Struthio camelus: one gene and its partner. The protein of the gene in region 1 interacts with the protein of each later gene in a pairwise test. Links are inferred from orthologs where the notes say so. Each region holds a gene or a part of one and is shown on either strand. Other genes may lie near its edges. The genes, in order: FHL5 and CREM.

Evidence for each region.
Region 2: the proteins of FHL5 (region 1) and CREM interact in a two-hybrid assay, tested with the Homo sapiens proteins (2 studies listed by BioGRID). The link is inferred for Struthio camelus from reciprocal best matches to the Homo sapiens genes FHL5 and CREM.

Annotation. Positions count from the first base shown.
Region 1 is NC_090944.1:53,215,699-53,232,487, forward strand, and holds the start of FHL5 (four and a half LIM domains protein 5), read left to right. Parts: upstream 1-5,310; 5' UTR 5,311-5,443; coding exon 5,444-5,528; intron 5,529-11,513; exon of another isoform or gene 11,514-11,618; intron 11,619-16,789. UniProt on the Homo sapiens protein: May be involved in the regulation of spermatogenesis. Stimulates CREM transcriptional activity in a phosphorylation-independent manner.
Region 2 is NC_090943.1:15,769,130-15,785,242, reverse strand, and holds the start of CREM (cAMP-responsive element modulator), read left to right. Parts: upstream 1-9,831; 5' UTR 9,832-9,925; coding exon 9,926-9,966; intron 9,967-10,622; coding exon 10,623-10,746; intron 10,747-16,113.

The DNA of each region.
Region 1 (16,789 bases):
ATAGTTATTAGGTAATGGTGATAAATGGAGTTTGGCTTAATACTACTCTAACATATATAGAACACACGTTGCAATGCATTAAATGTAAATGTGGCAGAGCACAGCTGTGAACACTTTGGGTATGAAATCAGTGGTTTTAAATGGGCATCTTTATATGAGGCCTCAAGGAATGGTTATTATCCAAGTAACAATGTATTCTTTTACATAGAGGCAGAGGCTTATAGTTTTGCTTTTCTGGTGTAGATTTGTAAGGGTTGCAGCACTGTATATAAGCATGTGTATCTCAGTTTCAAAGACCAGTTTTGAAACTATAAGACTAGTATCTAATAGTGTACAAATGAAAGGCCATCTTTACTTTTCTATACAAGTAGTTGATATTTTCAGCTTTTGTATGAACAACAGAGAAATTCAAAATTGTTCACTAGACCACAACAGTAAAAACAATAAGTACAAATAAAAATCTGTAAATCTAAGAGAGGAGACTCCGTACTACTGTGATTTTCTAAATGTACTGTAATCTTATGAAAATCTCTGCACACCCATGCTACTGAAATATCCTGATAATATCCATAATAGCAGCTCATTTAAAAATTGGTAATGGAGACAGAGGAGGTGATATCCTTTAGCATGGATATTTTGGGAGTGGAGAAATACTATTATCCCTGCCAAATTTAACATACACTATGTTCATTCAGTGGACTGATTGAGTTCTCAGTCCGGTTCCTATAGTGGTTAGAAGTATGTGCTTGCCTTCTGTGAGCTGCCTTATCTGAGAGAACTTGTGATGTATTATCCTGAGTTTCTTGAAAATAACTTAAATGTTAACTGTTCAGATCTTTTTTCATAAACTTTATATGCTGAAATCTGTTTGTCTAACCTGAAGAAGCTAAATACTGTTACAGTGTTTCCCTCAAGTTTTTACTAGCTTCATTTTGCATGAATTATATTAAAGGTAAAGTACATCAGAGTTCTGAAAGTATTAATGACATAATTCTCATATGTCAATTATTTCTAACTTATTTTTAAGAGCAGGTCACTTTCAAACACAAACTATCTTAGTATTACGTAACCTTGTATTACTTCCATAACGTCCAATGACTGTTTCTGTAATTTCAGGTTTTTGCATAAAACTAAGTTTGAGTAGTAAAACAAGAAATATAGCTGCTTACTGAAAATCATTCACCCATTATACCAGAATTCTTTGATACCAAAAGCAAATAAATAGTTTGGATTCTCTGTAAGTTGTACTCTGTTTAAATATTCGTCTTTTCCAGCACTGTACATATTCTATAAACTTAAATTCTTAAACAAGCCTGAAATTGCAACAAACAAGTTGACAAGGCCAAATATGGAAACTCAGCAATGGATTAACCAAGGCTAAGTTAATTTTGATAAGGTAAAAATCTGAATTATATACCTATATAAAAATCACTACTGTTCAACGATGTTTACATCAAAGCACTGATCTTTACCGATTATAAGGCAAAAGAGTGGTTTGAATTCCTTTCCTTTGGAGGCAGAAGCAAAGGTAGTAGCTCCTCTTTCCCTGGCTGGAGGCTGTCATAGCTGACAATGAAGGATATTGAGGAGTAAGAGGTGAAAAGTACTGTGGCTGTTTGTTTAAGAAATAAAATTTGCATATAGTGAAAAAGTTTGATTTCTCATTATTTAGCCACAGTAATTATAATGTTCCTATACTGAATGTAAATTGCTTTATACGACATTGATCTATTTTTAAAATAATAATATACCATGTGACGTTCTGTATACAAATATGACATGATTTTAATAATATTAAATGATGGCGTATTAAAATACCTTCTACTGACTTAACCAGTGATTGATGGTCTTGTACTTGCAGCTTTCAAATGGCATTTGGTAATATGCATCATTTGATTTAACATGACTCTTTGAGTATCCCTGTGTTTATTTTGATACTATTAGACAGAGTAATAACGAACATGTAGTGGATTTTGCTCTGTAATGCCTTAGACTTACTAAATTGTAGGTAATAAGTATGAATGATAAAAAATATAGGTTCTTCCAAGTTAAAAAGGAAGCACTAAGATCCAGAAGTGTCCTTTGTCTACTGACAGAATTCTAGGAGACATTGACTCCTGAACCTGCCTAGGTATTTTATTGTCTCTTAGATGTAGAAAGTCAGTCTTTATCAAATAAAGGGTTCTGAAAGAGAAAGAAAAGGAATATACATAATTTCCTGAACATGTTGCTAATTGGTATTTTTCCTCTCCCTAGAATGAATATATGTGGGAGGAAGAGTTTTGTTGACTTAGAAATTCACAAAGTAAAGCTGTCTTTTGTCATATCGAGGAAAATGCAATGCAATGCACAGTGTACAAGTCAACACTTTTGCCTTGGCTTTAAGTAGCAGTGTCAGCCTCTCCTTCTATCCTTTAGCCTGCAGCATTTTTATAGACTCATACTGCTGATATTGAGATACAGATATATATGGTACATATATATACACACAAATACTTATGAATATGCTTCTCATAGCCTTATTTGCTGCTACTCTCAAAAAATTGAAATTATCATCATAAGCACAGGTAGAAAGATGCCTTCCTCAGCAGCAGCCTTTCCTTTGCCTGTTTGTAGCTGGCAAAATGTAACTGTCATAATTTTGGTTATTTGGAAGTCTGCTGGAAATAAGAAAACTGCTGCTCTGTTAGAACTTGCAGCCTTCGTGGTAATTCTCTGCTTTTGCAGTTTCTTTAACAGTCTTTTGGCACAAGTTTCCAAGTAATAGCATTGGGGTTTGTTGTCGGGATAAATCCGTCCTACAGTTTATTCAGTTGCAGCTGCAGTACTTCCGTGCAGAGCACTTCTCTGCATAGACCCATGAGCACGCTACTCATGTATTTGTTGCTACTCGGCAAACACTTTTATATATAAATATATAAAGGATTTTATATTTTTATATATATGTATAAAAATGTGTGTGTATACAAATTGTGTGTGTATGTGTGTGTATAAAAATGTGTGTGTGTATACATATATATAAAAGTAACAGTTGTTTTCCTTAGATCAAGATCTACAAAACAGACTACTGGGTCGGGGTTTGGGGAGTGGTTGTTTGTTTAATAAGTTTAATACTGTTGCAGAAAACATAAGAGTGACTGTACTGGGTATGATCAAAGGTCTATCAAGCCCAGTATCCTGTCTCCAGCAGTGGCCAAAAGTGGACGCCTAGGGAGGAATATAAGAACAAGGCATGTTGTGATGTTTCCCTTGAGTGCTGTTCAAGCCTCGAAATATGTGCTGCTCAAACTTTTTGAATGATGATTGTGCTTTAAACATAAAAATGGCAATGATCTGAAGCTTTTGGATAAACAGAAGGCTTGAGAGCAGGATTCCTTCTCTCTGCTCACCCGAATAACTGAGAACATATTCAGTAAAAGCTGAACATGTTTTCTCAGAAAGAACGGTGATTTTTGTTTTTCTCTTTGAATTGCTGAGGAATGTCATTTTTTTATTTTTTCTTAAGTGGAAGTACCACTTTGAAAAGTTTAAAGAGAAATGCCGTGCTGGTTATTTGGTTGATGAACTCCTAAATTTTTCATGAGAAGCAGCAGCTTAGGTCAAGACAGTTCAGGTTTAGGGACAGATGAGATAGGCAGCCTTCTGTTTCAGGAAGTTCAGGAAGCGATGTGAGTTGTATGAGACATTTAACCGGTATTCTGAAGAAGCAGCAGTATTTATTTTCCTCCTCTTCAACTGTACTGTAATTTACGCCTGTTAGCAAAAATACTAACTTTCTTTTAAATAAACATAAATGTACATATATTCAGAGAAAAATTTGGAAAAGTCTTTGAAGTTTAAGGGTGATAATATACTCAAGGCATCTGTATCTTTTCTCCTGTCTCTGAAAAGAACATACTGTATTAGAAGTATTTCAAAATGTCATTAGCTCTTGACAGATCCATTTGGATAATATTTTTGGGTTGTTCTCACTTGTGAGCTTCAAAAGGTACTTGGTTAAGAGTTGTACTTTCAGATTGTTCTGTTTGGAAGTAAAGGCAAGAAGATGCTATTCACGATCCTCATTCTGGATTCAAAGTCAGATATGAGTGTTGTCCCCTCTTCTCGATCTACAAAAATCTCAGGATTGAGGAATCACCAAAATGCTTGGTCTAAATAAAGCTAATAGTTCAATAGGAGGAAAAAATTCCATCTAGTTTGTGCAGATGAAAATAAGTTTCTGCAGAAATTTAATAAACCAATTAGCCACAAATAGAGATGATGAATTCTCAGCAATAACAATCAAATGATTACAGTCTTAATTGTAAGACATTACGTAGACACAGATAACCTTCAGAAAATGTTTTCCAGGTTTGTCAATTTTATCAAAGGCTTCACACGACATGATACTTGTTTGAACTGTTTAAATGTTTCTTCCTTCTAACTGTGACCAAAAACAGTTCCTACCCACTTGACATTATAGACTAAATTTTTCAGGTCTATTGGCTCTTGGTGGTGGAAAAATCTGCCTGGAGGTCAGCAGTGGTTTAAACCACAACCAGCCATCCTTCTTTTCAGTCTGCTTAACTTCAGCCTGCAAATTTTTCAGCTAAAATGGGTTAAAGGTCTTCACAGAATCCTATACAAAGTATGAGCTCTTCTGTATGCTCTGTGCATGCCATAGGCTGTATGCAGAAGCTGGCTGGCCCCTCTTCTGTCCAAACACGCAGTAGGAGATGACTGCAATTCAGTCTTAGCCAGAACTGAGAAAAACTGAGGAAGACCTACAAGAGGCCAGTAGTACTTACACAGGTGATAATACAATAGGAACAGCTTCCTATGTACTGCGAGACTGGCAAACCTTCCAGCCCAGAAACTGTGTTAGTGGCATCAGAGAAGCTCCCCTGGGTCCCCAAAAATCTTTCCTTAAATTTAAGGAAAGCTTCTCCCTATGCCCCTCTCCCATCTCCGGTATCTTGACACTCAGACATTAGTCATCAGGATTTTTGTTTTTTCCTAAATTACAACTCTAAATCAGGTCTTTCGGATACATTTTAGTCCATGCACAATCAATCTGAGGGTGAATGATAATCCATCTTCCCCTGCCACCCTGCCCCTGTACTAAACAGCTTGGGGTGGGAGGGTTGATTCTTTAATTGCTGGTTTATTTTGTTTTATTTTATGTTATTTTATTTCATTTTATTTCTAAACAGAAGTGCCTTTTTCCTTTTGACAACTATCTGAAATATGCTCCTTTAAGAACCTCCTACGTGGTATGTATTTGTAATTTGTAAACACAAGATGTCAAAGAATGATTTGATTCAGTGGTGAGGCAGCCAGCTATTTGCATGTCATGAGGTCTAAGGGAAACAAACTGACCCTCAGCCTTCTTCCAGGCAGCCAAATTCTAATGGGACCCTCAAATAGCTCTGGCAAAGTATTCTGTTTCTTTTGGACTTACTGAATGCTTGTTTCTGCGAAGAAGTCCAATTATTTCTTCCTTTTATTTTGTTACACAAGTTACCAGGAGAAGCAGCTTGAAACCAGATGTGAGTATTAAGTATTTCCATTTCTCCTTTATGCGATAACGTTTAATTGTGGTAGTGTAACAGGTAACTAATTGAATATTTTAAGCGCTTAAGGAGGAGCTTTTTTCTTCAGATACAAATTACTCATTCCTATGGCTACAGTTTCTTTAAACTATGTGCAGAATTCCACAGTTACATTAAAAATGTTTTAGTTTTGTGTACCAAAACAAGATTCCACATTTTTTCAAATGCACTTGTTTTCTTTTTATTCATTGACTCACTAATTAATCTAGGGGAAGATTGCTCGTTTTTTTTTTTTTCTTCTTTGTAATGATATAAGGATGAATATTATTTACTCTAAAACATCAAAAATGTATATGCTATTTCCTGTGACATTTGAATCATCGTTTTTTTCTCATGGCAAGCTATCATAGCTATTTGGTGTTGTAAGAAAACTCTTTAAATAGTGTATTTTCTGATACGGTAAGTCACTGGTTTCTAGTACAGTTAATTTCACTGTCTAGTATGGATTGTTCTTACTTTTTCTTTGAAGTAAAACCAGTTACCAAGCTGGTGTTTACAGCAAAATTTAGCCGTGTTATCAAATCAAGTATCATTTCAACATTCTCCTTCTGTAAGATATTTTGTTGTGTCTTTTATTTACCACCTTTTTAGGATCATCATCTTGGTCTGGGATTTGAAAGCATGAGAGTAGGACTGAAAGGATGAACCTCTGTTCACTAAAATTGTTCTAGAAATGTCTACCTATATGGCAGAAGTTAAAAAGTGGAAATATTCCATAATTTAAAGTCTCTATATATTAATTGCACTGATACCTGGTTTCTTAAAGGTAATCTTTTTGATAATAAGGATTAAATCAAACTTGGGTTGAACTATCAAATACAATTTATATTTCAATAACATAATTAGTTTTAAATACCGTTTTTTTCTTAACTTTCCCTAATGTCAAAAGATCTTTTTGTGTACTGGAACTTGACATAAAATCTCTTATATTTAAAATACAAGTTTCAGGTGTCTTTCTTGTTTGTGTCTAATATTTTCACCCATATTTTTCTTCTGTTTGTGTCATGAGTTGACATTTCTAGAGTATTTTAACAGAATAGGCTTTAACAGACTTAATATACTGATGTTATAACAGATTGCTGATGGTCTTGTCATGTAATTTTATTACAGTGGCACAAAAGTCACTTCAATTTGAAGTTGCATAATTGGTAGGTGCTTAAAATAACATATTAACCTTCTCGTAATATAAGAGCAAAATCATGAAAGCAAAAGCTATTTGAAAGAAATTCTGATCAATTGTAGGGTATTTCAAGGTTATTTGCAGGCAGTCATTTTCTAGCAAATGAATATTTTTGGTTGACATGGTAAGATATAAGTTTTATGAGCCATATACAAATAAGCCCAGCTTTCTTTTCATCCTTCTTTTTCCTTGTCTGAGTTGTACTTATCCAAAAAAAAAAAAAAAAAAAAGAAGAGTTGAAATCTATTAGTATTGCTTAACCGTGGAAAGACAGGCAGAAATGCAAAGTCTCGACCAGCAGGCTTCTAAATGTCAAGCCTAAAATCAGAGGGTGAAATTCTAACCCCTTTTCAAGGAGGGGTGAAAACCCCTCCTGTGGACTAAACAAGACCTGGATTCTGCTCAAGTCTTTAGATCACCTAAAGCGTAGAACTGACCTTAATTTTTTCTGTACATTTTCCTGTCAGTTAACTGTAGGATGATGTCTTATGTCTAATTCCAGGATATTCTTAAAATTAATGATTTCGGTTCAACGTTCCTATTAAAATTTCTAGAGCCCCAAAGTTTGGAAATGGGAATGACGAAAAGCTGCTCATATTCCATGTTTGCTCCTACAGTAGAATTCATTTTGCTGAGAGCAGGGCGTGTGGTTCTGTTTAGGAAGCTGTGAACTCATTTCATAGGTTTATATTTTCCTATAAAATGTAAGAGGGATGAAATGGGTACAGTTTCATAGAATTACGTAGACATTTCTCCAGAAACACTAAACTGATACAGTGCAAATAAGCTACTATTATTAAAACCTCAAGACATTAAATTTTGTAGCAGAGTTACTGTGAGAGGCAGGACTTTACAACAGCTAGCTAATGTCTCTTTGTTCTCTCTTTAGTAATGGCTTCGTTTCTGCTATGAATCACCCTCAAGAGGAATTTCTCTCTCTCCTTTAACTATAAAGAGCACATTAGTGAATTAGCCTCTGCAGACTTAAGTTAGCTTTTGTGAATAGCACGCGTTCGTCTCTGATATTGCATAGTATACATCAGCTACTATCTCTTCTCCTGGTTTCCTTTTCTTAGACTAAAAGTTTTCTTTGATTCTGCTTCATTACCTCCACGCTAGTAGGTCACTTATCTTCTTAACCAGGCTTGTCTTGAATCTGAATTTGTTCTAGGTCCATATATAAAGACTAGCAAATTCTGCACATCTCAAAATATTATGAGTAGTGGATCTGAAAGGGCTTCTCTTGCTCACTGCTGGCCTTACACTTAATCATTTTTGTAAACCAGAAAAATATTCATTTTTCAATAACCTGTCTTGGTGCATAGATAGTAGAATTGATAGAAAGAATGATTTAGAGACAGAGCATAGCACAAATTAGTGACAGAATACACACAGAGGAGACCTGAATTTAGTTCAAAGTGACTGTCAGCCAGTTGTTCTGTGCTTCGGTCCCCCATCTGTAAAACTGGGTTTGTTATACTGAGGAAAAAAAAAATTAATTCAAAACCACATTATCCAAGGCTGACTGGAGGCAGCCCAGGTTCTCTGGAAAATCCTTAATGATTAGGAACTGTCTCAAATGCTGTGGCCTTAAGAAGTTTAACACAAAACTGGATAAATTTCCCTCAGAATGCCTTGCGTAAGTATTAGTCATATCTCCAGAGTCATTAGGGGCGATTGTAAAGTTCACAACTGGAGCATTTTATTGCCTCAGCTAACTTCAGTAGTGCTTTCTATCCAGCAGTGCTTCAGCTGGAAGTTCTCCACCAGGCAACCTCCACAACCTACAGTACTTGTAACTCTCCATTGCCAGGTCCATGACTGCAGTCTGACGAGCAAAATCCTCTAAAGGCAAAGGCATAACAAGTGTGTGCTTCTCTTCCCACTCCTCCAGGTTTGCTCTCTGACCGTGGGCGAATCAGTTATTTTATTTTGAAAGGCATTAACCTTTCCTGTAGACAAGTATCTCATAACTGTGTTTTAGGTTTGCTTTGTTATTGTTAGAAAAGTTATCTTGAGATCTTTGAAAGGAAGGCTGTATAAATATCTCAGAGTATTAAGCTACAAGTCTATTTATCAAGAGCCCAGTCTTCCTCAAGTGAGCTCCCCAAGCTACTAATTCAGCAACATCAATATTCATTTATGCATTATAACATGAAAAATTGTGCCATCATTAGAGTTCTTCGAATAGCTGGGTTTGTTTTCTATTTGCATGCAGAAAAAAAAAAAGATTAGAGAAAATCTTTCATGTTGAACAGATCTGATTGTGAAAGTTTGTTTAGTTTGGTGCTTGAAAATGGAAGAGCATTGAGAAACATTTCAAATTAAAAGCTCAAAGCATTTTCTTATTTAAAATGCAGTAGCAGAATTCTTAAATTTGTATTTAATCATTTACTTTTGTTTTTTCCCAAAAACATTTACCATATGTAACATAAATAAGCAAAAAGGACTTGAACTGTATTTTTACCTTAGCAGAGTTTCTGCTGCTGCTTACCACTCCCCTCCCACTCAGCCCAGTCTTAACATGCAGCTAATTAGAGTTATGGGCTCTGAGGGTCATCCTGCACCAAAAGTGGTTCGTTCCATTCTAGATTTGCAAAGGTAATTACTTTTCTGTTGCTGTGTCAGGGTTCATGTTATCACTTGAATAGATTCCGTTGTTACCCTATGTCCTTGAATTATATTATCTGATTTTAAAATGATCCTAACTATAAGAAAGGAATTTCTTCATTCCTGACAAATTTGCTCCACCATTCTAAGACTTAAGTGATGATTTTTAATCCTTACGATTTGTCAAAGTTAAATGTTGCCTATTCTGGATTTTCAGATAATCTTTAGCCTTAGTTTTCTGTCCATCAGAACTGGGTAATCCTACACTGGACCCAGCTTTTAGAGAGTATGTATTTATTATTGTAGAAAGAAATCCACTTTCAAACTAATATAGTCCCAAAAAGCAAAAAAGCAACCTTTTCGCATGCCAGGACTTTACAAAAATCCCAGCAGAGCAGTAATGGAAGGGTCAGTAACCTCACATCATAATAAAGTAAGACAGAATACTGAGATCTATTCATTTCAGTGTCTAATTTTAATTCATAGCCACTTTTAGGAAGACAGACTATGTTAAAATAGTAAGAAATATGTTTAAGGTCTGGTACAGAGGTTTTAGGACTTAAGGGAAATGTTAAGATACCCAGTCACATAATTTTTCTGAAGACCTTATCACCCAAGCAGGCCCAGCAGAAAAAGAGGAGAAGTAAAAGAGGCATGAACACTTCAAATGACCTGGCACAAGTCATATAGCAAGTCTCTGGCAGGATATGAGCAGAACTCAGAGCCGAGTCTAAGCACCACTCGATGTTTCTGCTCACACAACACGAGGAGTCAATGCAATGATATATTTTGTCTTGTGGGGAAAGAGGACTCACCTGTTTGAGTTAGGAAAAATCTTCAATTAAGATTTTTATTCAATGAAAATGTGGTGCACAAAACCATATGTTAAACAAACCAATTTTCTCTACACCCAATCCTAGCAACACTCCCTTATTTTCTCTCTCTGCTAAAGGAAGAGCAAAAAGTAAAAAGATCTCCACTCCTGCCTTTCTTCCCATCAACCTCTCCTAAATGGTTTCATGGCCTTCAAAAGTCATCTAGTGAGCTCTCTTCTAGAACTGAGTAAAAATTCAGAGTCAGATATCTATTTCCTGTGCTGGAATGAAACATGTGGATTACTATCAACAGTGAAAACAGGTCATCTGTCATAACTAAGTGTGTCTGTTTGAATATTTTACCCTTTTTTTCCCAGCTCAAAGAGCAGCAGCCTGCCCTTGATGCACCTGCGTAGTAAACTAGCAGGTGTTGCAGCCTTATAGTACATTTAAAACAAATGCAGGGCAAAGAATAAAAGCAAAATATCACCCTGCCATAATTCCATCTATTTAGCAAAATGCACATATGGCCAAATTGTACCAGTTTGTTTCTGCAGTCTTGGTGCAAGTGATGAGACTTGATAACTGAATTGTGCCTAGTGCTTTCCCGGTAAGTATGAGGACACCAACCCTAACATGCAGAGGTAAAGCCTAATCCAGCAGTTACTAAACCGCCTGATAAGACTTCCATGCGTTAAGTGATATTATTCACCTGCATTAATTTACATAGACATACGAGTGTTTCTGGCATCATGGTCCAAGAGAAGACAAAGTACATGTTCATGTAACACTTAGGAGGAAACAAAAGGAAGTTATATAAGACTACTTAAGAAAGTCCACAGTGTGTTTTCGTAGCGGCTGACTGTTTGGCATTCTCCTGAAAACCTTTTTTGCCCTCAGTCTCAGTTATATTCTATAAGCCATTCATTATCATAAAAGCAGGAGAATACAAAGAGCATGGCATCTTTTAGGATTTCTCCAATGGATTAGACCTTCACTGGTTTATCTGCCTACCAGATGCATATGTATGTATATGTATTTTAATAAGACTGTGTTATTATTGCATCTCTGTAGTCCAAAGAGACTGCAATTGTAGAGGACACTTCCTGCTAGTTCTCCTAGGAAAGCCTACTGAGTTAATTGTCAGTAGAAATCCAGAATACCTGGGCAGTCCTGGCTTTGGCATCAGTCTACTATGGGCTCTACTCAATGCTCTGCACAGCATTTCTTATACTATACGTAGCAGTGACTTTTCAGACTGTGATTCCTGTGGCCACAAATTGTCTGCAGAACTGTCATCTGTGTTTCCAATGTAAAGCTTGGTAAAAAGGTGGCAACCAGACGGATGGAGCCCTGCAAGCAACAGAGCTGCCTGTTTGTCAGGCCTAAAAGTCTAAATACCTGGGAACGGTGAAAACTAAGGTAGGGATCTTGCATACCAATACTTAACACTAGCCTTTGTTTTTCCGAGGCTGTAATGTTACCTAGCCAGTGACAAGCCTTGAACAGGGCTGCCATCAGAAACTTTCAGATTTGGTTCATTTTGATAAGATTTTGTATTTTTATTACAAAGTGCTGCAGCTGGGTTTATTTTTTTCCTCAGAAAACTAGGTCAGGTTGGCACAGTACAGTTGGGAGAGAAAAGTAAAAGGCTGCGCTGCTGCAGCAGATTCTGTATTACCACTTGGGGATATTATGTTTGGTTTGGTGTTGGGGGAGGAGGGTATTTTTAACTGGGTAATGAAAGTCCTTTCCAATTTTAGCTTGCTATAAAACATATATGCTGCTGCTGCTCATCTTTTTCTTACTGCTCATTTCATTTCTTAAAGCAGTTCTAAAGTAGGTCACAGGCTTTTAAAGAACCCAGCTAGAAAAAGTATTATGCAGTGGGTTGCTGTTATTTTTTAATAGGATTTTAATTCACGTAGAATACCCATTCTCAAGACACATGGTACTCTTCACCGTCCTTTCTCTCCCTGAAATAAAACGTAAGGGTGGGAGAAATCCATTCTCTGCAGCTGATGCATCTACAAGTAAAAGGCATGGCCTATTTTCTGTTAAAATCTTAAAGGTTGCAGTCAGCAGCAATGTTGCATGTTGAAGCTCTGTTACCTCTTGTTAGCAGTAAAGCTGTTTTGTTTCATGGCCCCTAAACATTTCAGTTCTCACCGTATCAGAGACATCATTTCCCATTGCTTTTGTTTTCCCCAAGAAAGCTTTCAGTCCCGAAGGCAAGCTTGTTTCTCTATCAGGTAGATGTATTCCTGCCCAGCAGTGTTAGTCTCTCACTAAGATGCTGCTATTTTCTTGGTGGACTTTTGCGCAGCTGTGCAAGCATGTTGGCCTCTCCTTAGGTCATTAGTGCCTTGAACAAAGGCAAATTGGGAGTAGGATTTTTGATGTGCAGATGCTGTCGTAGCAGAGATCTCTTAATCTAATCTGCATGCTGTGGACAAACTCGCTGGCAAAACTCTCAGATCAGGACTTCACCGTCTGTCTTCATTTATAACTTTGGCTTTCTTTTTTACTGAAGCACTTGAAGTATTTTCCACAATTAGAGGATTGTAGGTGAGGGTGGAGGCAGGAAAAGGGGCAAGAGGAAGCCAGGCAGAAAGGGAAGAAGTGGTGAGGAGGAGAATTTCTGTTCATGGCCAAAGTTCAGCTGTGACCTCAGAAATCAATTCTCATCGTGAACAATTCAGCCCAGAATTATTAATGTTTCTTTTCCTCTTTTGAAAACATTTAGAGCTTGCTAGGGCTTAGTTTGATAGTAGTAAAAAATACATTAATATTTCCATGCAAGTACAACTTTCCCAGCCTTCCCACCATTTTATTTATGAGGCAACTATATCCCAGCATAAACATCCTTTTGCTAATGAGTTTCTTGTCTCAAAATGAGACAGATTCTTTAACTTAGAACGCCATCTTTTTCCTAGGCTAAAATGTACAGCTAGTTAGAAAATTGCTCCTCTCAATGAACATGTTATCTTTATATCAAAAAATCACAATTTAAGATTTTACTAAAACAGTTTTCTGTCAAAAATTTAAGATTTATTTTTAGACCAAAATTATCTTTTGTTTCACTTTTGAGAGTCCTACTTTTCTGAAGCAAACTGACATTTTCCGTGGAGTTTTGTTTATTCAAAAACATCTGATTAAAATGCTTCAAAATTTAAAAAATAAAACTATTTAAGTAGTCTGGATCAAGCTTAGTGCAAAACTCCTTTTCTTCCAAGAATACCCTGATGCAGTAACAACTTTTAATTTATATTAGTTTTGGAAACTTATAAATCCTCATGTTTCAGAGCATGTATCTAACCCCCTAAATGGGATTAGGAAACTTTCCTCATGAGCAGGTTGTTGCCTAGACATCTTTTGTAGGGTTCCTTTCGCCTTCCTTAAGATGGTTTTGCCTGCTCAACTGAAAAAGATATATAAAACTATAGTCATTTTCTTTCACACATTCTTTAAATCATTGCTACATCATTTTTAGATCTGCTTTCCCTCCTGAGTTCTAGGCAGGAGCATATTTAGTGTAGGCTGTCAGTGCCCAAAACACTTCTTTATTCCTCATTGTTCCATATACAGCAATGCTGAGCAATGGAGCAGAGCGCTGCCTCCGCTTCCTTCGAAGCCAAGTCAGCAGAATAGTCAAGATTATTGAAGGCATCCAAACCTGCATATATGTTCTGTTGCCTGATCCGTAACAATTAACACCAGTTAACCCAGAAACCCTTTCCATCAAAAAGACCTCAGCTTTTAGGCAGTGGTCATGTCTAAATCAGGCTGGTTGACAAAGGACATGTAGATGATACTTCACCCTCCACGACAATGCAGAAAATATTGTCAGTGGAACTGGCATTCTCTCTTAATTTCACACATGACTGGGACTTGAGATTGCTGGAAGTGATTTTTCTCTGTGGAAAAGCTGACTCTACCGAAACTGGCCTTTTCTTTGACAGAAATTGGCTGAAATCACTAGTTTCCTTGGCCTTTTCCTCCTGTAACCAGTTTCGTGCACTTTCTCTGAATATAATTTCATTAAGGAGGATTTAGAGACCATATTTACCAGATACTACATATCAGGGAACATTAAAATTAATGGTAATGAATCTCCTAATTACTTGCATATTTTTGAACATCCCACCTCTTGCTCATCTGTCAAAATGTGTGCTTTGTTGGACTTGCTCCAGTAGCTCCATGTCTCTCTTGTACTGGGGAGCCCAGCACTGGACACAGTACTCCAGATGTGGCCTCACCAGGGCTGAGCAAAGGGGAAGGCTCACCTCCCTCAACCTGCTGGCAGTGCTTTTCCTAATGCAGTCCAAGAGGCTGTTGGCTTTCTTTGCTGCAAGGGCACATTGCTAGCTCATGGTCCACTCAGTGTCCACTGGGACCCCAAGGGCCTTTTCTGCCAAGCTGCTTTGCAGCTGGTCATCTTCCAACCTGTACTGGTGCATAAGGTTATTTCTGCCTAGGTGCAGAACCCTGCACTTGCCTTTGTTGCACTTCACGAGTTACCTCTCTGCCCATCTCTCCAGACTGCTCAGGTCCCCCTGAATGGCAGCACAGTCTTCTGGTGTGTCAGCCACTCCCCCCAGCATTGTATCATCAGCAAACTTGCTGAGGAGGCACTCTGTCCCTTCCTCCAGGTCATGGATGAATAAATTAGTCTTGGCCCCAGAACTGATCCCTGGGGGACATCATTGCCGACATTACTTTAAATTCCTTTAGGATTGTACCTAGCATTCACTAATGAGTTCCTATCCACATCTTAGGCCTACATCTGCTTTGCTTTCAGGACTCGATGCATTTTGAACTTGGGCACCTGAAACAAGTCAATTTTAAACAGTTTAAGTGTCTTTTAAGTATTTAACTTATCAGCTAGTTTGGTTGTTGTTTTTCACATGGGACTTTTGAGCCAGATGTAATCCTTAAACCTGTGAAATGCCTAAATGTATATAATATGACTTGCATATAATCACAGAATCACAGAATCGTTTAGGTTGGAAGGGACCTCTGGAGATCATCTAGTCCAACCTCCCTGCTCAAGCAGGGTCACCTAGAGCATATTGCCCAGGATCACATCCAGACGGCTTTTGAATATCTCCAGCGAAGGAAACTCCACCACCTCTCTGGGCAACCTGTTCCAGCGCTCTGTCACCCTCACAGTGAAGAAGTTTTTTCTCAGGTTCAGATGGAACTTCCTGTGGTTCAGTTTGTGCCCGTTGCCTCTTGTCCTGTTGCTGGGCACCACGGAGAAGAGGCTGGCCTCATCCTCTTGACAACCTCCCTTCAGATACTTGTACACATTTATGAGATCCTCTCTCAATCTTCTCTTGTCCAGCATGAACAGGCCCAGCTCTTGCAGTCTTTCTTCATAGGAGAGGTGCTCCAGCCCTCTAATCATCTTGGTAGCCCTCCGCTGGACTCTCTCCAGGAGTGCCATGTCTCTCTTGTACTGGGGAGCCCAGCACTGGACACAGTACTCCAGGTGAGGCCTCACCAGGGCTGAGGAGAGGGGCAGGATCACCTCCCTCCACCTGCTGGCAACACTCTGCCTAGTGCACCCCAGGAGACCGTCGGCCTTCTTGGCCACAAGGGCACACTGCTGGCTCATGTTTAACTTGTTGTCCACCAGCACTCCCAGGTCCTTCTCTGCAGAGCTGCTCTCCAGCAGGTCAACGCCCAGCCGGGACTGGTGCATGGGATTATTCCTGCCTAGGTGCAGGACCCTGCACTTGCCTTGGTTGAACTGCAGGAGGTTCCTCTCCGCCCACCTCTCCAGCCTGTCCAGGTCCCTCTGAATGGCAGCACAGTCTTCTGGTGTGTTAGCCTCTCCCCCCCAGTTTCGAATCATCAGCAAACTTGCTGAGGGTGCACTCTGTGCCTTCATCCAGGTCATTGATGAATACACTGAACAAGACTGGGCCCAGGACTGACCCCTGGGGGACACCACTAGCCACAGGCCTCCAACTTGACTCTGCGCCATTCACCACAACCCTCTGAGCTCGGCCATCCAGCCAGTTCTCAAGCCACCTCACTGTCCACTCATCTAGCCCACACTTCCTGAGCTTACCTAGGAGGATGTGATGGGAGACAGTGTCCAAAGCCTTGCTGAAGTCCAGGCAGACAACAGCCACTGCTCTCCCCTCCTCTACCCAGCCAGTCATTCCATCACAGAAGGCTATCAGATTGGTCCAGCATGATTTCCCTTTGGTGAATCCATGCTGACTACTCCTGATCACCTTCTTGTCCTCCACATGCTTAGTGAGGACCTCCAGGAGGAGCTGTTCCATCACCTTTCCAGGGATGGAGGTGAGGCTGACAGGCCTGTAGTTTCCTGGCTCCTCCTTCTTGCCCTTTTGGAAGACGGGGGTGACATTGGCTTTCTTCCAGTCCTCAGGCACCTCTCCTGATCTCCAGGACCTTTCCAAGAGGATGGAGAGTGGCCTAGCGATAACATCCGCCAGCTCCCTCAGCACTCGTGGGTGCATCCCATCGGGGCCCATGGATTTATGGATGTCGAGTTTGGACAAAAGATCTCTAACCTGATCCTCCTCCACCAAGGGAGAGTCTTCCTTTCTCCAGCC
Region 2 (16,113 bases), on another chromosome or scaffold:
CGATGACAACCTTAGGCAATACAATTTAGCTTTGAGAGAAGGTTGAATTTGCAGAACTGTTGTTTGCTTGCAGAGCAAGCAGTATCTATCTTAAGTAAAGCATGATAAAAAGGAAACTTTTTAGTGCCCAATTCTAAACATCAACTTCCAAGTGAAACTAGACATCATTCCACTCTGATTCAAGTACAGTGAGAGCTTCCTCAGTTTTCAGAATAAATGATGTAAGAAAAACGTATTTGCCTTTCATGTAGTTCAGTCAAACACATTTTTCATACTTACTGCAGACTGAAACCTCCAGAGATATGCAAAAGTAGCAGATAAATAGAACGAGAAAAAACAATTCTTAAGTAAACCAGCTGCCAAAATATCATCATCGAGGAGATCAGTTTGGTGAGCCAGCATTTAATAAAAGAGAAAAGATGGAAATTTCCTCTTCAGCCGCAAAAATGTGTAGCTTTAGCCCTTATATGTGCACTACTGGGAGATTAAGAACTAAATGACTGTTGACATGAATACGAAAGCTCTGTGGCATAGATATACTGCGAATAGTTTGATAATCTCTTCTTATATTGAATTATAGAATACTTTTTTTTTCATTTATATCTCTCCCTTCTCTGTATACCTGCCAGACAACTTTGCTTTGTGGGTAGCGAGCTCCGTTTATTCATAGTTGCTTTTGCTTTTTATCCTTCCTTCTTTCATTTGTAGCCATCAGCAAAGCCACTACCCTCAAAAAAAAAAAAAAAAGCCTGCTCCCTCACCACTAACAACCTACAAGTGGTAGAAAATCTATTCTATAGTCAGACAGTCAACTAAATGCAAATTCTTAGCATTTTTAGTCATTTTCATTATTTATTTTTGAATGAGTATGAAATCTTCCTATATTTGCCTTTTACTGCATTCTCTGAATGGTTGATGTCATTCACCTGTCCTCTGTGTGAAGCAGATTCTCTGTAATTCTCTCTCTGTAATAATTCTGTGTTAGCACCTGCCACACCATTACTTTGGCTTACCTTTGCAAAGCATGACTGCATAGCAGCGGACAGATTGTGGCATACACATTTCTATGGCAAAGGAGAACCACTCAATTCACATTCAGCTATTTGAGCCTTTTTTAAAGCTTTCAGGAAGCTTTTCATACTGGTTATATTTCCAGCGTAGTTCTCCTATGTTGCCTGTTCAAAAGACTTTAATAGTAGAACTTTATACACTTCTATTTTGAATAGAGCTCATGCAGTTCTTTGGAAAGAGACGTAAGTTTATATCCATTCTAACTGCACAAAACAATGTTTTATACAAACGTTATACTTTCCACCAAAGGGTTCAAAGACCTCTACAAACAGTAATACATCGTAAATAGTTAAGAACATCGTGACGTACATACTACCTCCGTTTCATAGGTGACGAAATTACTGTATCAGGAAAGTTTATTATTCAATAGAAGAAATTTTAAAAATTTCATGTAGTAGATCTCAACTGCCATTTTGTTTTTCTGCTGCAGCAGAAATACAATTATTTGTGCATCTTTAACTCCCTAGTCAATCATTAAGACATTTCTACCCCCTTACACTATTGTTAAGTATTCATAATACTATTTTTCGATTATAATCACTTCTTTCATAGAATGATTATGCAACAAAAAAGTATGTAACAATTCAATTAGAAACATGAGGACAATTTAGAATGGCAAGTTATCTGCCTGACTATTGAGTACTTAAAGGTTTCCCCAGTTATTTTTTCCTTATGATTCCACAAGTACTAGTAAGCTGACCTATGAGTGGGGGACAAGAAAACATTTCTCATTTCTCCCTCTCATAAAGCTTTTCTCACAGACATCAAACCAAATGTCAAACTGCACATTCACAAATCATTTTAGCTGTTTGTGTTGTTTAAGCAGTGATAAATAATGTGAACAGTTTAGCTCCTAGTGTACTCTGGTTTACTTTGGCATGTTTTGGTGCATTGATAAATATGCCTTTCAAACTATCAGACACATGAGATAGTAGCTAATGGCTTGTGATTCCTGTTTAGTCTTTATAAAAACAGATTTTGATTACAAATCCTAAAAAACTGTTGAATTAAAACATATATCAAAATGTACTTCAGACTGTGCACCTGTGCTTTGAAGTGTGAAACATTGTTGCATTATTGTAAGCTATTGTCTAAAATCACATCATTAGGAACCCAAGAAAAATCAAAGTAAAGGTATTTAATAAAATAAATGTAAATAGAGTAGTATTTGGTACTCATTTCAATGACAATAACCCCATAACCTTCCAAATAAATATAACCTGCCATGTACATGAAGTAATGCAAACCAGAGCTAGCTGAGGTACTGCAAAGGCTCACAGTTGTTAGCTCAGCTTGCTAGCTGAGCTGTACCTGTGACTCAACAAGGCTTTTCCTTCCTACGCTTCTGGCACCCACAAAAGTCAAGCCAGTATCTTACCACAGCACTAATTTATTGGCAGTATCAGTTTTTGGAGGCTCCAGCAACGGGCAATAGTGAAACATTCTTAAAAATAAAGATATTTGTAATTTGCTCTTAATCTACTCACATAGTCTCTCAATCTTACGTCCACCATAAAATAAGAGTTTAGGAAAGGAAACGTAACTAAATACTTAAAAGCCTACAGATGTGTAATATTCTTATAAACCTATATAAATACACCTGGAAAAAAGCAATTTACAAAGGTTGCAACTTCAACAATATTGTTCAGCATTTGCCTTTCTAAGGACATATTGTTCCTGTTTCTAAGCCAACTGAAACGCCTATTTTTCTTAGCATTCCTGGCAGTTTATCAAAAAAGGACAGGTAAATTAAATGATCAGTTTTATATACACTCGTTACAGTGAACTTGTTGCTTGCCTAATCCAGTCTCTTATTTCAGACAGCTCGGGATTCTGTTGCATCATTAGCGTATTGGCTACTTCTGACTTTCATCATATTTACAAAATAAGTTGTGAAAACAATGGCTGTATGTTATGACCACACTTTCCTGTGACAGCCCTACAAGTTCTGCTTTTGTCCTTCTACCCTTTTAGAGGCAGTGGAAGAGCAGAGATAGTATTTAATGACCAGCTAAACCTTGAGTGGTCCATGAAGAGATCTGTGATGCAATTAATTTACGGTAATTCAGTCTCTTCCAGATTCACATGCACACTGAGGAATTGTATGACCTATGACAATAAGTATAAGCATGCAGTCTTTAAGGAGGAAAAGATGTAGACCTCAAACATCAGATTGCATACGTCAAGAAAAATATAAAACATTGTGAAAAGAGCTTACCAGTGAGCTTCGTTAAGTGTTAAGTGAAAATAAATTTACTGGTCATCTTTTAGCTAATCATTCAATGGGAACTATTTCTGGCATAATAAACAACCTGTAAGTTTTTTTTTCTTTTGCAAAGAATATTTAGGGCTTTTCAGATGTCATTGTCTGAACAGAGGCTTTCATTTACTCCACAAGTTGCATTTCATGATTCCTCAATGTCTAGGAACGTGTAGGTGTGGAATGGTCTAAGAAGTGTGCATGTAACACACCGAACGGTTATTAAGATGAAAAAAAAAATCACAGAACAATCATTTAAACAACAGTCAAGACAGCAAACAATGGAATCATTTCTATAACATGTTACACGCAGTATTATTCCAATTAGAAAGCTAGTTTCTTCATTTTTGTCAGTCTAACCCATATCATTTTCAAATGTCTGAGCCCTAACTAAAAATAAATCTATAAGCAATATTTACATAAGCAGCATGTCCCTTTTCCATCTTTACCGAGGCCAGCTATGAACTTTTTTTTTTTTTACAAGAAGATTTTATGTAAGCGTCTCATAAGATTGTAACCGAAATACACTAAACTCTCAAGTAAATTCTTCAAAAATGTATTAAAAAGAAGTGGGGAAGACCCAGCATGAAAAATCAGTTGTTTGAGGATGATGTAAATGGTGTTCATATTGATTTATTATGCACTGGTGAAGTATTTATTTTCTGCACAAAGAACACGACCATTTCTTTTGGTGGCAGTTCCAGTTCAAGTGGCTTCAGCTCCCTGCTCATTCCTACTCAAATATAAACCTCTCAGCTAAGGCAATCCTTCTCTTCCTATGACTGCGCAGACCAGACTTGAGAAGTGATGCAGGTTGAAAGTAACTTTTTTCTAGATACATTGCTTTTAACAGAGATTACTTGGCAGGTAGGCTTTTGGTTACACAAGAACTTGTATCAAAATAACCGAGGTAGCGGGAACAAGATGTGAGCGGCAACTGAGGGCTGCTTAACTTTGCATTGCTCTTTGGGTTACATTCTCTTCTAAGATCTTCTCACTTGCCACACTAAAGCCTAAAAACAAACAAAAATAACTGTTTCTGAAGTGCTGATAGTTCCTTGAATTTGCAGGAGATTGGATGTAGTATCAGACTGGATGTTTCAGGTTAGGAAGAAAAAGGGACTTCAGGCAGGCAGGCATTCTGCTGGCAGTGAAGTGCCTGGCTTTCCAATTTATATTCAGAACTATCTTGTGTAAATGATGATGATCATAAAGGATCCTATCCTGTGTGGTCTTCATATTGATTGCCTTTTGTCCTAGCATTTGAAATTAAATTGGTTCACATCAGGGATTGATACCCACTTAATTAAAACAATTTTAGAATGATTGCAGTAAAGCGGTGACTTTTGTAACACAGGTTGGTTTGTCCTGAGCTAACAACTACTACCCCACAACCTTGCCACAGTGACAATGTGGCACTTTCTGTTATTACTCACACCTGCAAGGCCAGACTAAACCCAGGCAGAAGTTTACCAACTTCAGTAAGCCATGTCAAGTACGCAAGAGCTGAAGCTGTTTAATCATCCTTGCATTGCTAGAAACTAAACCCCTTTGACAGGTCACTCCTTCTTCAACTATGAGTTTTCTCAAACTGGAGCTTCAATATTCAGTTTATCATTTATATTCTGTATTTCATTAAAATAGAGAGAAAAGAGGTATAAATAAAGATAAGTCAAGAAAGTTTCAAAGCTGCTTGCAACTTATTTGAAAAATAATAGGAAATAACTCCTTTGCCAACTTTACACTGCAAGCGTTCTATGGAAATTCTCAATTTGTTTATAAATAACTGACTCTGGTGGTTTTCTCCCTCACTGTTTGTAATCAGATTTCCACTTTCGCAAATATTTCTTACATGTTACTAGAAACACAACATCTACTTCTGGCTTTATGACTATGCTAAACAAAGATGGAATTTCTTCCAAAGGCATCACGAGTTATTCTTAGCATTTTTATGCTTGGCTGTTCATTTGATTATGTTAATATTCAGAAAATATTTTCTAATTCACCAGATGTTTTCTACTAAAGCATGTCCTTTGATGAACGCATATGTTTGTACTTAATGCGTCAACTATAAAGCAAAAAGGTTATGAGTATAAATCAAGGGAAGAGCAACCCGTATTTAAAACTCTGAAAAGACACATAAAAACATAGGCAACAAACAAAAGGAGGGAAACAGAACTCAAAACAGGAAGGGGGTGTTATTTGATATTTCAGCAAAGGAAATGAAGACTGAAAACTTTCATAAGCAACAGCAACATTATAAACATTGCATTATTTGCATTGGATTATGATTTTGATAGTTGTGTTAAATAAATTCTGTGAGGCCAATAATTAACTTGAGTGGTCAAAGGCAAAAGCCTTTGCAGATAAATGTACTTTACTTCTTCTTGAAGTCTGAAGCCACAAATACTTATCTGCTTTCTGAACACAGAAAATCAATAGGTTCTCTTCACTCCATGAAAAGACTGAATACTTGACCTGTATGGGCATATTACTAAAGCTGACATACATACCCTCCAGTTGCCTAATTGCAGTCAGTCCTGTGAAATTAACTGGGGCCTTTCGTTCTTATTAGACACACTATGGAACAGATTCTCACGCACACAGACACAAAAGGATAAGTACATAAAGTACTTGAGAACACGTGCAGACAAGTAATACTGTAACAGACATGCTGTAGTATAACCCCCTCTCACACTGCTTCGTGAGGTGCTGAACCGTAGTTCCAAGACACAGGACGCTAAGACACCAGGAGCAGCGCGGTCCATGACCCAAGCCTTTGTGGAACGCAAGCGTGAGTAAAACCGGGGATACAGGCCTTGCGCTTCCTGGAACAAGACACATCTCGCGGAGGCCGAACGTGACTCACGCCATGCAAACGTATCCTTTGGCAGCGAGGGGGGGAAAACATGAGCTGCTCTTTATCTCTTAGCCGCTTCTGATGTATTCAGCCAAACAAACACAGAGCTTGATGTCACGCTCCTAAAGGAAAAACACACACACTCTTAGGAATAACTGATTTAGGGGACGTGCGTTCGGGAAACAGGGGAATTTAAGCCCGGGCGCCAGCTCCCAGGGCCGGCTTGCGGCGTGCCGGCCCCTCGGCACGTTTCCTCGCTCCTCCGGCGGCCCCGGAGGGCTGGTGACCGCCGGGGCCGCGCACCGCCCCAAGCGCCGGGCCCCGCTCCGCTCCGCTCCGCTCCGCTCGGCGCGGGGAGGCCGCTCCCCACCGGCCGCGGCGGCCCAGCCGCTCGCCCGCCCGCCCGCCCTTATCGGCGGCGCCCAGCCGGCACGCAGAGGAGCCGCGCCACACCCCTGCGACCGCACACCGCAAGCGCGACCCCGGCCGGGGCGCGGGGCCTCCGCCGCCCTCCGCTCGCGGCGCCCCGGGGAGGGCCGAGGCGGCCCGGCGCCCCCGGCTGCAACCGGCTGCGCACGGCGGAGGGGCGGCGCGCCCCTCCCCCACGCGGGCAGGATGGCTCCGAAGCCCGCAGCACCGCCGCGTCCCGCCCCTCCCCCCCGCCCAGCCAATGAGGAGCGCTGCCGGCAGCCTCGCCGCGGCGGTTGGCCAGGCCGCCAGCCGTTGGGCGCCCTGTGGCCAATCGGCGCTGGCGGCCGCAGCCGCCGAAGGGCAGGCTCCTCCTCCTTCCGCGGCCGCTGGGGCTGGGAGTCGGCGCAGACGCCATTTCCTCAGCGCCCCCGCAGCGGCGCGGCTGCATCAGCGCTGACGTGAGGCCGACGTGCGGCTCCGCCCGGCCCAATCCCCCCCACCCCCCTGTGACGGGGGCATCACGTACAGGGCGGCGGGTGAGTGCGGGAGGGGGCGGGGACACGTGTGCGCGCAGCCCGACCCCCTGCGGGGCCGGCGGCGGGGCAGCGCCGAGGGCAGCGGCCGGCCCGGCCCAGCCCAGCCCGGCCCAGCCCAGCCCAGCCCAGGCGGCGCGGGGGCGGGGGGCGCTCTGCCGCGCTGCCCGGCCCCGCCGCCGGGAGCGCGCTGGGGTGGGCGGCCGGGAGCGCGCCCGCCGCCAGGGCCGCGCCGCGCCCGCCCGCTCGCCCGGCTGGGCTCTGCACGGCTCGGTCGGGGGGCCCCGTCTGCGGCGCGGCCCGGGTGCTGCGGGGCCGGCCGGGGCGAGGGAGAGCGGCCCGACTCGCCTGCCGGCGGCCCCGGCGCCGCTCGGGCGAGGGAGGGCCCGGGGCAGCGTGCCTCGCCGCTGCTGTCAGAGGGCGCCGGGCCCGGGGCCTGCAGGCGGCCTGACGGGGGGGGAGCGCTGCGGGCGGGGGGCCCCGGCGCCTGGTCGGGCGGGCCTGGGCCGCCCCTGCCCGTTGGGTTTCCCGAGTTGGGACAGGGCAGGTGGCCGGGGAGCATCGCGGCCGGCTGCGCGAGCTCTGCGGCTGGCGTGAACTGCGGGTTTTCTGTGTGCATCCTGCGCTGCCGCGCCGACGTTTTAGCTGAGGGCGGGGAGGAGCTGCGCGTCTTGCAGCAGCTAAGTGATCCCGCAGATGCTGACACACAGGAGCGATCCTCTTCTCTGTTCGGTGGCTGTTGCTTGGGCTGTGTTTCTGCCACACGTGGACTGTTGTGTCCTGTTTACAGCAGGCTCCGTACTGTCTCGGCAGGATTATTGAGATGGTATGTCCAGTGTGACAGGCAGTGTGCTTGGTCTTACGGTAGTGGCAGTTTGGGTTTTTTCAGTTTTTTGAGGGTGTTGGTAAAGTCTATATCCTAAGATGAGGCGAAAAAAAGGGAGACGCGTTTAAGAGCATAGGAGATGCAAGAAAGTAACTGTTGTGCTAATACTGAACACTTCACAGAAGTTGCTGTCAGAGCCTGATCTGCTGCAGTGTTGCTCATTTTACCTCGTTGAACACGGTCACCACCTGGAACTTCACATAGCAGTGTAGCAAAATGGGTTTTAGATTTCATAATTTAGACTTCCTACTTAAAACACAAAGCTCTTCCGAAACTAATACATGCTGAGAGTTTCCACACTGTGGATGGGGGCACCGCTTAATGCCAAGCAGCTGTTTGTAGATTCACATCCTTGCTTTTTAGTAACTTCCCTGTGAGTAAAAGCCTTGAAGAAGATATCTAGAGCAAGCCCTGAAACATATTTCTTAGCTTTTTCCTTACAATTTCTTTGGTAGTAAGCCATCTTTGTAAACAGTTTCTGATGTATAAAGTAATGCTAAAATAAAGAAATTATCTTTAAAATGACTCTGGGTATTTAATTAGAAAAGTCATATGTATTCAGCAGTGTGAATTTCAGCACCAATTTGCTTTCACAGTTGAAGCTCACCAACAGACATTAAATACGATACTTTAAAAAAAATGCCTTGTAAAACAAACTGCAGTATGGAGAGGGGAAAAAAAGATTTTTTGGTATGTTTTGATAGGGATGCTGTGCTTAGCTTACAGTCTATGGAGAAAAAATACTGAAAGGGTCATATATCTAGATTTAAGTGACTTCTGACCTTTTGGGTCACGTGGACAACTTTTTCCTTTAGCTGTTGCTGTCCCCTAATATTGTCCTGTCAGTGATGCTATTTTTATCAGCTGAAGAAGTTTTTGATGAAATACGTTTTCTAACCCTGAGATTTATTTTGGAAAGGAGAGTAGAAAGTTATCCTGCTCTAAGGAGAGAGCATTTGCAAGCCATGGCAGTAAAACTGTTGCAGATACCCAAGAGAGGCAAAGGCATAGAATGTATAACTTCTATTGGCAGAAAAAAGAACTAATGTTAGCCCTTGAAATCTTAAATTGTATAAAACCTGGCTGCCAACAGCTGTAGTACTACAGCAGCTATGGTCAGTGAAGTGCTTAAATTGCAAGGTCCTGCTTGCAAAGCAGTCTCTTAAATCTGGTCGGTACAGTACTGTTAGGGGATTACAAGTTTGCAGTATGCCTCTCTATATCGTTTGACTAGATTCCTTTTTGAACATACAGGTAAACTGATGTTTTCATGCCTTCATTTGAGGCAAAAAGGGTGGGGGTTTGGGATATTGTGTTTTGTTTTATTTTTTTTTGTCTCCTCAAAAAATCGATGTGGAATATTCTGTAACACACTGCAGCAAAAAAGTTGAGCTTGTTTAATTTGATCTAATGCAGTTGACATGTAACATGTAGGTCTTAATTCAGGAGCCAGGAGCAGACTTCCTTTCTGTCTATTTTATATCCTAGTGTAAGACCTGAGAAGAAACTTCAGTAGCTGTCAGCCAGATGAAATAGCTGAAAATACACTTCAGACTGGGTTGCGGTGCCCTAGTTACAGTAACTGAACTTGCTGATCCTAATCTAAGAAAGATTTTTTTTTTTCTTGCCTCTTAAAAACCCACAACTGTATCGCTTCTCCCTCCTGTGGTCCTGATCTCTTGTATAAAGTAAGTTATGTCAGACAGAGCCGTGGGGCGGGCCTGGGGGACACGTGAGCCCACGGGACCCTCTGGCGGGTCCCCTGCTGCACCCTGGGGACGGGTTGCTAGGGCCCCGTTGTGACATCAGCTGCGGGGCGCTGCACCTGCAGTGCCTCTTCTGGCAGCAGAGAAGGGGGCTGGAGAGAACCACGCTCTTGTTTTAGATCACACACATCTTCCATTATGACCAAGTGTGTCAAGAAATACGGAAAAACAACTGGAAGGTAATAGTATCTTTATACAGCAGATAGGTTTGGAGGCTCGCTCTATGGAGCTTAAACTCACAGGTTTAAGTGAGGGTTATGGAGTTGTTTATCCTATGAAACTTAGCCTAATTTTAAAACCTGCAAAGCAAGAAGAGTGGTCAGTCCGTGGGTCTTGAGCCACACATAGTTCACAGACAATTCAAGTACAAATCCTAGCCTGGGATGGTATCACATGAGCTTCGAGCGTGGTGTGCTGGCATGTGGCTGCTGGGCATCCTGAGCCCGGCCTCCTTGGGGACGAGGTCCTAGGGAGCAGCTGCAGCCAGTGCTGGCAGTTGCTCTGGATCCTGCTCTCCGCTCTGGTTAGCCTTGCTCTGTGGTGGGACCCTGGCACTCTGTTGTCACCTCTCTCTAGAGAACCGTTCCCAGAGCTGCCTTTCCTTGCAGCTTTTCATAGTACGTGTGTTTCGAGCCTCTGACTGTATGAAGATCTGAACATGGAGGAATGGGAAAGTATGACTTTGATTAATCTTATAGTTTTGAGAGAGAGGTTTTCTGTTCATTGTTAGCTTACTACTCCAAATATAAAACAGCTTGAAATTGCTCTTTTCTCCCTAGGTGCCTAATATCCCCCGTGTACTAGATTATTTATGTATGTATGTACTTACCTTTAGACAGATGACCATGGAAATGGTTGAATCGCAACAGGATGGAAATGCAGTGGATTCTATGCGAGAGAGAGATGCTGTTCATGTTCAGAATCAGCCAGGCCAAAGTCAGATTTCCCCCATATCTCAGGTAAGCTGAAATGGAAAGATGAGAAGAATCAGCACAAGTGATATTCAGAACTGTTAACGGTTTTTTTTAATGCTGACCGTTAACTTACCAATTTTAAATCATGTTTCGTAAGTTCTTTTTGTTATTTAATAGGGAAAATGGTAAAGGTATACTGAAAACTATGCCTGCTGTGTTTAACATAGTGCTACTATTACATCAAAGCAAAGTAACACTTCTAGGAGATTGGACTACTACAATGAGAAGTAGACATGATTTTTTTTCATTTGCTGAGACGATTATATGTATTATGCAAGTGGGAATAGGGTCCTAATAGGTTGAGAAGGCTGCAAGATCAAGCATAGTTAAAACATTTTTGTATCTCAAAGATGTGTTGTATAACAAAAATGAAAAAAGAATGAAAATAATTATGGTTCTTTCCTAGTTCCAGGTATTGTACAGAATGGGTTTAGTCCTGCAAGTACTATTTTAATATGTGCTGTTCTGTTTCACCCCTGCGTGCCTGATGGCAATGTCTCGTTTTCTAGAAATACATTCCACTTGTTCTGTGTAGTTGTACTTGTTTTTTTGGCAGTAAATGGGAAAAAAAGAATAACAGTTCTTAAACATTAAAAATACTTCTCTGAAATATTCAGCCCATGAGAGAAATAATGTTATACATGCCAGTACTAAGATTTGTAATGTCAGGAAACTACATAGATCCATTTACAAGGATTTTTAGAAACCCTTTGTCAAGCCTTTGGAACTGTTTAAAAAATCATCTTATGGAGTTTCTTCAGCATGCGATGTTACTCAGTAAGATTCCTGTCCAAATGAGGAGAGGGATCCTCAGTTATTTCATACCATATATCTGGAATGTTAAATGCCTGATTCTCATTATAGGTGTATTTTCAAGGATGAATGCTACTGCTTTGTGTTGGGTCTTTGTGTGCAAAGTAGGCCTCCAAATACTTTTGAAACTTTTTTCATTGATGTTTTTTGTCATTTACAGCATTTAGTTGTGGTTTTGGTACCTGCAGCACTGGGAGTCTTTTTTTTTTTTTTTCTTCTCCTTTAAGAATGGAGCGTGAAACAAGAATTTTATTTGTTTTGCTCTGTTCATGTTACTCTCTCATTTCTTCCTTTCTGATGGTTCAGACTTAAAGTAATACTTACTTATAGTAATAGTGTGACTTCTATGTAAAATCTGTGAGTTTGTGCAATAGTCTCTGAAGAAAACTACTGTGAATCCTGTCATTTGGGACTTTTAACATTGAACTAGACAAAGCTGTAGGAGGACTTCTGTGGGGTCCCCAAGGAGAGCCCTTTTCATGTTTATCTGCCCTCGATACTTGAGTACTTTCTGGTGGTGACTGATGCGGTTCAGCCACGCTGGGCATGTGCCTGTTTCGGAGGTAACGCTTTTAACTGAATCTCAGTCAAATACCAGTAAAAGGAAACAAATGGGGCAGCTTGGAGTTTGCTTCCATCTGAAGGCTCAGGAGAGCAAAGAGATGTGGGAACATCATTACATGTGGGAATTCCTCTTTTTAGTCAGAAGGCTTGAAGAGCCGACTCTGACTTTTTCCAGGCCTGCTCGGCTCCCGTAACTCGAAGGCCTCGGCTGCCCGGAAAAGCAGAGCTCATGGAATTGGGCTATTTTGGAAAAAACAGTGACAGGGAGTCCAAGGGCCATGGGGCGGGGGCTGCTGGGGCCAGGCCGGGCCACGCGTCCTCCTCCCACCGCCAGCACCGCCGCGGGGGGCCTGCGGTGCTGCCGTTGCCTCGGGGCAGCTTGGGGTCGGCACCGTGGTGCCTGCGAGGCTGCCTTTCGTCTGCTGCCTTTCGTCTGCTGCTGCGGAGGAAAGGGGGACGTCGTCGTTCCCTAGCTAGGTCTCTTTGGCTTACGATGAGGAGGACCATGCTAGCGTGCCTTCCTGCCCGGCAGGCTCCGAAGGTGAGGCACTGTGTTCTAGGTGAGAGCTAGACTGGCTGAAGACGTTTGCCACCCCGCGAGGCAGGGACCCCATGGAGGAATGTCACCTCTCCGCCTCTGCCAGGCGCGGGACGGGAAACTGTCTGTGTTTCTGAGCGATTTGGGCTGTGCTGGCCCAGCGCACGCGTGTTCGGAGCGGTGCGGAAGGGCGCCAAGAGCTCCTTCGCTCTCTCTTTGGCCTCTGGAGGAGCACTGAGAAGAGCAGGCAGCCATTTAAAGTGCCTGGCAAGTAGCTTGCTCCAACTGGTAAGCCTTTTTCCTCACTAATTTTCTTGCAACTGTGCAGGAACAGAGACAGGAAGGATGGCTTGGCTCTTACTGAGTGGCGAAAAAAGCCTACTCGCTACAACTGAGGGTTGCTGCGCAGACGTTGGGGTGGTTGTTGGTGGTTGTTTTTTAACTGGATATTTTTTCAACATTGGTTTTGTTCAGTCAGAAGTAAAGCATTTTAATGGGTTATCTTTTAATATTCAGTTTGCAGCTTTCTGTGTATTGCTTTGGCCGGGGAAAGAGTAGCAAAATGACGAAGCATACAATTGCATAGGAGCTTATATCTATGTATAGATAAATATACACACATTAGATATTATATATTTATGTATGTGTATATGTTTGATTTATATATTGTTTTCCTGGAGTTCCGGCTTTTTAGAGAAATACTCGTCCTTTATTTTGAAAAGGGGGGACAAGTTGTTCAATAAGATGATAATATCCGGAGAGCGGACACTGTTTTGTGTTGAAGCATTCCTGATGCCTCCCCTTGGAAACTAACGACCCCGTTGGGCTGTAGGACTGTGGCGTAATTAGATGGCCTCCAGTGCTAAAGATTTGCTGTTATGAGTTATTAGTAGAGAAAAGGCTGCAGTAGGGTTTTTTCTAGTGTGTGTAAAAAATGGTTATATTCTCCTGCAATTCTTTTTTGTGGTGAAAGTAAAATTCTGTTTTTTGCAAAAGTTAGCAAATTATAACATAGGAAAAATAACATGCCCGTTTGGTCCATTGAGGCAAAATTGACAATTTTTGTCTTTAAAGAGTTATTTCTGTAATAACATTAATGTAGAACAAGATGGCATCTGTGGTTGAATTTCTTGCATCCTTTATAATAAGGAATAAATAACAATTATTTATAACAATGATAAATGCGTCAAGATTGTATTGTTTTGGTGATCCACGCATCAAAAGAATTATGTAAAAATTTTAATTTGTAAAAGTATTTAATAGTTTTTTGTCTTTAGAAGCTGAAGTGTATAGAGTAACTGTGTAGAAGCTTCAAGCCTTCTCTTTAGGGAAGACTAGAGCTTTGAGGGGGAAAATTTCTCAACTGGTACTTAACCAGGTCCCATGGGTTCCATCTCATATGCATTGCTGTTATATTAATACAGAGTGGGCTGGTTTTTAAGAAGTTAATTTGGACTTTATAAATAGTCACATAATATTGATCATCATCAAACTTATATCTTGAAACTGTTGCATGTGCATTGCTATTTGGAGAGAGATCGGTTGCTCCTTTTATAGTACTTCTTAGAGGCCTCATTGCACTCTGCCTTATGCTGTGCTCAGTTACATTAATAGATATAATACAAAAAATAAGAGGATTGTACTTTGACCTTTTTGAGTTCTGACAAAGTACTTTTTTTTTTTTTTTCTTCTTCTTCTCAATCCTACACGTTTTTGATGGGTCCCTCTTTGAATCACTTTTTGGCTTTGTCGTGTCCTATCTGTTAGCAGAGCTACGTCTGCTGTCTTGGTCTGAGAAATCATCTGTTGACCTCTTAGTGTTTGCCCTGGACCAAGTGTGGGTCAGGATTTACAAAGTGATAACTGCTGTTGGAGAGAGCTGTGGGAGCTTTCTGGATGGGTGCCTTCTGGAGCCTGGAGTACGTAGCCATTGCAAGTTGGGACTGCTTCTATTTAGCGCTTCAGAGGTATCTTCCCAGTGGGTTCTCAGCACCAAACTTTACTTTACATATTGCTCGTGAGAAACCGAGCACCATGGAAGTTTGCCACACTCTTGGTCATATTGCTTTAAAGCTAGCCCAGCCAAACACAGGTCCAGAGCATCTGGCAAAGTTGGTGTTAAAGGTTTATGCACCTGCTGCCTTGTCACTGTTTTGTTTGTGCCTCAAGTGTATCCAGTCACTAGATGGCTGAAAGTAGCTTAACCTTGTCTTCCTTAAAACTAGGTGCTTCCTCTTTGACATTAGCGTTGGAATTGACCAAAACTCCCCTGGCTTCAGCTTTTCATCATAGGGGCTACTCAGAGGTGTCTGAGTGTGGTGAGTCCTTGTACTCTTCTATCAGGTGAATCCAGGATGGGTTTGCTTTGTATGTACTTTTCTAGTAGTACTTTTTGTGTACTTCTGGAATCTGCACAGTATGTGGATTCTACGCCTGAGAGGGAAATCCAATGGAGTTGGGCACCGTGTAGCTCATGGTATCCAATGTTCCCAGCACAAAGAGGTTGGAAGCAAGTATAACCTCTGTAGCCCTCTATAGGGAAAAGTTACCTGACCTTGAGTGACAAGGGGTGCATATATCCACAATATAACTTTTCAGATCTTCCGTGCATACTGAGGTCAGATAACTCATAAATAACCTTTCTGTTTGAACGAATGCATGCCTCAGCATGAAGATGATTCTTGATCTTTTTACTTGCTGCTTTACTCTCTAGTTTTTCAAGACGGAGGCACATATATTTCCTAATATACAAAGTATGAGACCAGGCCACCATGACAGAATGTGTGGTTGGTAATTTTGAAGCCATTAAGCTTGACCGTTGCACACGTAGGAGTTTAGACCCCCAACTAACATTACAAGATCCTAGCTCTCATTGCCGTTGCCAGGGAGAAAACCCTTACACCATCTAACCAGAGGCTTAGTGAGTTAAGCTTCTCCCTGGCCTCCATGTTGCTGAGTTGCTTCTATGGGATGTTTTCAGTCATTGTCCTAGACTGCCCTTGAAATAATGATATTATAGCTAGCATTGCTCATCGTTAATGTGGGAAAGTAACTTTTTTGCCAAGGCTGCTTCAGTCAGCATTTATGCGTGAGTAACCTGATAGCCTCAAATGTCAAAAGGTTCTAGTATTTCAGTTAATGCAGGAGGATGCAATTTGAAAATAATGCAGAGTGAAATGTGAATAAAAGATGTTTTAACAATTTTAATATTTATAAAGAGATGCAAAATATGAGATTGGAAGGGAGTTTTAAAATCTCAATTATAAAAAATAAACCTAATACAAAAGAATCACAGATTTAAAATATAGCTTATAGGTGTTAGAATAACAGGAATTTGTGCATTGCGTAACCTTCAGATATTTGTGGAACTTTGCAAGTTGTGAGCAAATCAAATTATCTATTTAAAATGGAAATGAGCAAACGAGCAAATAACTTTT